Tribolium castaneum: one gene and its partner. The protein of the gene in region 1 interacts with the protein of each later gene in a pairwise test. Links are inferred from orthologs where the notes say so. Each region holds a gene or a part of one and is shown in the gene's direction. Other genes may lie near its edges. The genes, in order: exd and CtBP.

Region 1 (3,511 bases):
AAAGACGTTTACGGGACATATGGTGGCTGGGTATGCCTGCACACTTGATTTTTCACCAGATTTGAGGTTTGTTATTATTTTTTTAACAGTTGTAGGTTTTAACAATTTTTTTTGTAGTTATTTAGTGTCGGGTGACGCCGATGGTAAGTGCTACATCTGGGATTGGAAAACTACAAAGTTGTATAAGAAGTGGAAAGCGCACGATAATGTCTGTATCAGTGTGCTGTGGCATCCGCACGAGCCGAGCAAGTTAGTGACAGCAGGCTGGGATGGACTTATCAAATACTGGGATTAAGTTTCCAAGAAGGTGTAAATTTTAAGCGAAATAAAATATTTTAATTAGAAGATACGTCCTTTCGCTATGGTCACGTGATCGTTATAACCAATCAACGTAAGCGATTTCGGTCACCTGACTTATGTCTACGGTGAAACGTCACTCATTTTGCGTTTTTAAATGCCTACGTCTAATTTTGACAGCGAGATTTTAATTCCGCCGTTAAAGCATTTAAAAGATTAGAAAAAAATTAGATAAAAAATGATGTTTTTGCAATTGGAAAAAAATAAAGAATGATTATTAGTATTTTATTTAATAGTAATTAAATTTTCTAACATCAGCATTTGCTTTTTTTTCAAAAAATCTTTGTTCTCTAAATCGTCCTTTTAATTATTAATTTTTTTAATTAATTAATTTTTTCTCAAACTGTATTTTTTCGTCTTTGCAACAATCACACATTAAATTCACTTTCAAAAGACAATAAGTTGCTACTTTCGTTCGTTCCTATGTTGATTTCTAAATTTTCTAGATAATTTAAATGGAGAATTAAATACTTTAATGGGACTTTAATTTTTAAATATATATTTAAAATGATGAAACGGGGTGTTCAGTATTATAACTAATTAAGTCCGTTAGACGAGTTTTGAGTTACACAGGTCCGGACTTTGCTGGTATTTTGCAAATTTGTTTTATGGTGGAGTGGCATAGTTTTTTGGTAATGACTAAAAGACAACGTAGATTGTGAAATAACGTAATTAGAGTATGATTTTACAGCATACGTTTCTATTTTCTATATTTTTCTCAAAATTGACACAACTTTTGGTCATTTACTTCAGATTTTTTGCTGTTGAATGACTGTTAGATGCTGATTTCAAGAGAATCAACGATTTTTTCTATCATTAGTTCTCTGGTCCTCCCTAGTTTGTGAATGAATCCAAGTATAAACAACTCTCGCTTTAGTAAACCACTTTTTCCAATCCGTGCCAAAATTTGAATATCATCCAAAGGCCATAAATCTCCCCCACCCGCCCCTCAAAATCCATAAAATTCCTGCTTTCGCGCATGCGCCCCTACTACCCATCCCGCAAACATCCTCCCGCTTTGTTTACGTATGCTGTCAAGCGCGTCCATTTCCTAGTGCCGTTTGCGTGCCCCCATGGACGACCCCGGCAGAATGATGGGCCACACCGGCGGCGGCCTGATGCCCCCTCAGCCGTACATGAACGCCCAGGACGCGCCCGCGGGCGGCGAGAACGAGCCCCGCAAGCAGGACATCGGTGAGATCCTCCAGCAGATCATGAACATCACCGACCAGAGCCTCGACGAGGCCCAAGCGCGCAAACACACCCTCAACTGCCACCGCATGAAGCCGGCCCTGTTCTCCGTGCTGTGCGAAATCAAGGAGAAGACGGTGCTCAGCCTGCGGAACACGCAGGAGGAGGAGCCCCCCGACCCCCAGCTGATGCGGCTCGACAACATGCTGATCGCCGAGGGGGTGGCGGGCCCCGAGAAGGGCGGCGGCGCGGGGGCCGCCGCCTCGGGCTCCGCCGCCGCCCAGGCCGGCCAGCCCGACAACGCCATCGAGCACAGCGACTACAGGGCCAAACTCGCCCAAATCCGCCAAATCTACCACCAAGAACTGGAAAAGTACGAACAGGCGTGCAATGAGTTCACCACACACGTTATGAACTTGCTGCGGGAGCAGTCCCGGACTCGCCCAATCACCCCGAAGGAAATCGAGCGGATGGTGCAAATCATACACAAGAAATTCTCCTCGATTCAGATGCAGCTGAAACAGTCGACTTGCGAGGCTGTTATGATCCTCAGATCGCGGTTTTTGGACGCCAGAAGGAAACGCCGGAATTTCAGCAAGCAGGCGTCGGAAATTCTAAACGAGTATTTTTACTCGCATTTGTCTAATCCCTACCCCAGTGAGGAGGCGAAGGAAGAGTTGGCTAGGAAATGCGGGATCACAGTGAGCCAGGTGTCGAACTGGTTCGGGAACAAACGAATCAGGTACAAGAAGAACATCGGGAAGGCGCAGGAAGAGGCCAATTTGTACGCGGCGAAGAAGGCGGCAGGGGCGTCGCCCTACAGCGGCACCCCGACCCCCATGATGTCCCCAGCGCCCCCGCAGGACTCCATGGGCTACTCCATGGGGTCGGCCTACGACCAGAGCTCAGCCTATGACGCCAGTAGCTGTGGTTACGACCCAATGCACGCACAGGAACTGTCGCCCTAATCAAACCCTAGCTTAATTTTAAGGAAATACAGTTGTATACTAACCCATGTATACCGAATTTTGTATCGTGTACAGTGTGTTTCTGGGTTCAATTGCTTCAAGTTTTACTTTTCTGATAGTATAGGACGTACTTGCAATATATTTTTAGGTTGATTGTTTTAGGAGTTAAGGCGAGTTTTTCTTCAGTATTTTTTGTATATTTACTTATTTTTATCGATAAGGAGCAGCTGGGTGAGAGAACTTTGCTTTAACGCCGAGGTTTTTCCATCGAAAATGAAATTACAGTGCTTACTATTTAAATAAATAACTGTAGTAACACGTGGATCATTTTTTCAACATACATGAAATAATCACAGAAAATCCTACATGGAAATAAAGGGCGTAGAGAGACTCACGTGAATAAAAGCCCCATAAAAATTAACTCACTAAAAAAAAACAATCACTGTCATTGTGGATAGATTTATAAAATAATTACTCAGATGTCAATAAAAGTTTTAGATTTTTTAGACGAAGCGTCGTTAATTTAATTCGCAATTAAATGCGTGATTAACTGGACACGTGACCAAATTAAAGAAATGTGATTGGTGATTTAAGAGGTATGCAGAAATAACTTTCTAGGATAAAATTTAGTTCCTCTGTAAACCGAGATTCTAGGGGTGCAATTTCAGTTGGGACACCCTGTATAGAGACCAGAGGGGGAACGTAATACCCACTTATTACATAAATCACAACTTATCGTGAGCTTTTTTCTTTTTGGTATATGGGTATTTTTATCTGTGTGGGCTTTAAATTTTTCTGCTCAGACCCCACAATTAAATTTGCCGCTGTGACACTTCCAGTTATACCAACACTACACCGAGTTGGGCCCGTCGATATACGCTTATTTTGGCTTAAATTTTATTATTTTTGCTTTGATAACCACTTTGCGTGTTTAGCGAAACAATCATTGTGGAAATTCGCCCGAAAACGGTCAATTTTGGGTCAATTCCGCGTCT
Region 2 (3,827 bases), on another chromosome or scaffold:
CGTTAATTAAACTATATCTGAGAGATTAAAGTTTGCGCGAAAGAAGTTTGAAATGAAATAAGCGACAAAGAGGTCCATCCCCACCTCTTTTTCTTTCCACCGCCGGCAGTCAGACAAGGAAAACTCGGCAAACTTTTTAACTAGTCGCTCCGACACGGGCCAAAGTTTGCCCGAGAACTAAAGTTGTTACAAAAGTGTAAGTTTATATACTTTATAGCAAAAGTTAGTTCAGGGGAACTGCCGTCGACGATCGATTTTAGCAACTTTTACGGGACTTTTGTCGAGTCGATTGAGATGATTCTTGTGTGTGCGGGCCAAACTTTTCGTCGACTTTTTAACCGATCGGTGATAAATGAGACGGGGAACTTTGTACAATTACAATGCGATTTTTTGGCGAGGACAAGTGGTCCCATGCAAAGTTCATCGATTAAAAGCGGGGGTGGTGGCGGAATTCGACGTCGTGGAGGGGTGGGTTGTACCGAGGCGGAGCGAGGTTTCTCTCGGTGATTAACAGCGGAAGTTGGACGAGGAGGGAGATGTCCAGCGGTTGGTGGCGGCAATAGCGCGGCTTCGTGCGAAGGAGAAGCAACGACGGCGGCGGCGGCGATGATAATTTATTAAAATATCTAAAGTTGGCCGTTGGCGTTCCACCGCCACACCATATTCCGAAACACATTTCCCAAACTTTCCCGAAACCAAACATCGTGCAATAATAGTTGAGGACTAACTTTGCCAGTTTCGTAGTCGAGAGTTGGAATTAGTTTTAACTGTAGTAATAGTTGTCCGAGAGAAACTAACCCTCTCTATACGACGGACAATTGCCATGTTTACTGTCCTCGTTTCGACTGTCTCTGTTTACATCATTTTACAGTGTGATTTTAATAGTTGTCCCAAAATTTGAAGAGGTAGTGCTAGGGGACTAGTTGCCTTATTCACATGTATTTATAGTTCCTGGGATACGAAGGGCCTTAGAAACTATAAACATTCGGGTAAGGTAATAAGTTCAGTTGATTTCGCATATTTTACCCTCCACTTTTTAAATTTATCTGCAAGTGTCAAGATCGCCCGCTATAAATGGAATTTGTTTTTAGGTGGTCTTCATGCATCGCAATGGATCACATATTCAGTCGCGAAGCATAACCTAAGAGGTTGGTGTCGCGGTCCGGCGTTTTGCGAGTAAGACGGTGGACGGCTGCATCATCATCACCAGTGTGAAGGGGGTGAACTGTCGTCGTCGTCGTCGTGTTGTGATCAGTGTCGTGCCGTGAATGCGGCTCTGGTGTCGCGGTTAGTGTTGTGTGTCAAATGGACAAACGAAAAATGATGGCAAAAAGGCCTAGAGTTGAAAATTTGCGCGGTCCAATTTCGAACGGGCCGATGCAGACCCGACCATTAGTGGCGTTATTGGACGGAAGAGACTGTTCCATCGAAATGCCGATATTGAAGGACGTGGCCACGGTGGCGTTCTGTGACGCGCAGAGCACCAGTGAGATCCACGAGAAAGTGTTGAACGAGGCGGTCGGAGCCCTAATGTGGCACACCATCGTTTTAACTAAGGAAGATCTCGAAAAGTTCAAAACGTTGCGTATCATCGTGCGCATAGGCAGTGGCGTCGATAACATCGACGTTAAAGCGGCAGGGGAGCTCGGCATCGCCGTCTGTAACGTCCCCGGCTACGGCGTCGAGGAAGTCGCCGATACGACGTTGTGTCTCATTTTGAATTTGTACCGACGGACCTATTGGTTGGCGAACATGGTGAGGGAGGGTAAGAAGTTCACCGGTCCAGAACAAGTGCGGGAGGCGGCCCAAGGATGCGCCAGGATACGTGGGGATACTCTCGGAATCGTCGGGCTCGGCAGGATCGGCTCGGCGGTGGCACTTCGCGCCAAAGCCTTCGGCTTCAACGTCATCTTCTACGATCCCTATCTCCCCGACGGCATCGAGAAGAGTCTAGGACTGACGCGGGTCTACACGCTCCAGGTACGCACCCACCATCGAAATCAGCGGTATTTCATTGGCTCATTTTCAGGACCTTTTGTTTCAATCGGATTGCGTGTCCCTGCACTGCACCCTAAACGAACACAACCATCATCTAATCAACGAGTTTACCATCAAGCAGATGCGACCGGGGGCCTTTTTGGTGAATACGGCGCGCGGTGGTCTCGTCGACGACGATGCCTTAGCTCAAGCCTTAAAACAGGGTCGCATTCGAGCTGCGGCGTTGGACGTCCACGAAAACGAACCGTACAATGTGTTCTCGGGACCATTGAAAGACGCCCCGAATCTGTTGTGTACTCCACATGCAGCCTTTTATAGTGACGCTTCAGCAACAGAACTTAGGGAAATGGCAGCGTCGGAAATAAGGCGCGCCATCATGGGCAGGATCCCGGAGTGTTTAAGAAATTGCGTCAATAAGGAATATTTCATGAGCCCGGGCTCATATCCCGAAGGTACAGGTAATATTGTTACTACTAATGTGATGAATGATTTGACGTGATCCCGTTGTGTCTGACTCCTAGGTTAATTTACTGTCGATTAATGTTTCATTTTCTTTTAAAAAAGTGCCATAATTTGATCAGTTCGGTAAGCGTATTAACTAAAGGGCGGATTATATGCCATATGAATATTTTTTACACTTCTAATTTGTAATTGCATGTTTTACATTTGACTAGTATTTACCCCACCTTTTTAGCAGAAATTGTTTATTTTGCTTTTTGGGGAAAGTTTAAAAACACACATTTGTACCGACAATTCTCAGCGGGAGGTAGTTTTTTTGCAACTGTTTCTATTGACCTGTTTCGGAAATTTCGGGTAGTTTCAAGTACATATTCTTTTCCACCATTTCTTTGATTAAAAGGCTGAATTGTGGCTAAAATCTCAGAAAATAATAAAGACTTACTACGTACTAACTAAATACTAACGCATTTGTTTCTTTAATTTTCCACTATTAAAGTTGGCTCATTTGATATAAAAAAATGCTGGAAACATAATATAACTGATAACTTACAAAAAATTATGTATATTCCTGCTATAAAAACTGTCAGGGAACAATTCTATTTATTTAATTGTAAATTAAAATGTGGTCAAGTTGTACATTATTGTTAATATGTTAATATTATTGTTAATATAACTAATTTAACATTTATTACCTGTGTTCAAGAAAAGTTTTGCTGGAATTGACGGAAAGTTGCAGCTTACATGATAAAAGCAACACAAAAATTAATCTTCAGTCAGGCTTAAAATTAAACGATTTTTCTGTATTATGGACCAAATCACTGGTCTGCCTGTGGGGATGTGCTTCTCTCTTTTGTCATGCTACAATATAATCGGTACCTGACAGTGAAAAAGTCGAAAGTGCTAAATATTCAGGACTAGTTTAAAACAAAAATTAATATTTAATAACCATTGGCACAATTTTACCTAACATTTATGAGTGGTTTTTTTGTTGGAAGTAGATCCAGTAAAATTAACCCAATCGTTACAGGTATACAGGTGAAAAAATTAAAATTATTTTTCAATGGTGTATGGTTGTTTTATAAATAATTTGGACTTTAAAAATAAAATTCCAATATCCTGTAACTTTTGTAAGTAGTGCCGTTTGCACGATTTTATGCTTTGTTTCAAATAGAAAGTGTGTTCAATGTTCACTTTTAATTATATTATTTATTTTTTGGAAAAAAGGGACTTAGGCTGTTGTTGCTGTCAGGCACTGAATTAAAAATTCATTTATGTGTGTGTAAACCAACAGTAGTGTGGGACCTTAAGAAGAAAGTTTGCCGAAATATTACTTGTCTATCACAAGGACTCAAATGCGCCGTTTCATGATT

The links.
Region 2: the proteins of exd (region 1) and CtBP interact in a two-hybrid assay, tested with the Drosophila melanogaster proteins (2 studies listed by BioGRID, with this or other methods). The link is inferred for Tribolium castaneum from reciprocal best matches to the Drosophila melanogaster genes exd and CtBP.

Annotation. Positions count from the first base shown.
Region 1 is NC_087400.1:5,271,026-5,274,536, reverse strand, and holds exd (extradenticle), read left to right. Parts: upstream 1-1,426; 5' UTR 1,427-1,430; coding exon 1,431-2,516; 3' UTR 2,517-2,834; downstream 2,835-3,511. Other genes in the region: pre-mRNA-processing factor 17, read left to right, coding at 1-66, 118-295. UniProt on the Drosophila melanogaster protein: Transcription factor which acts with the selector homeodomain proteins altering the regulation of downstream target genes such as wingless (wg), teashirt (tsh) and decapentaplegic (dpp), thus affecting segmental identity.
Region 2 is NC_087395.1:17,862,434-17,866,260, forward strand, and holds part of CtBP (C-terminal-binding protein), read left to right. Parts: intron 1-1,091; 5' UTR 1,092-1,305; coding exon 1,306-1,980; intron 1,981-2,029; coding exon 2,030-2,456; intron 2,457-3,827. UniProt on the Drosophila melanogaster protein: Corepressor targeting diverse transcription regulators. Hairy-interacting protein required for embryonic segmentation and hairy-mediated transcriptional repression.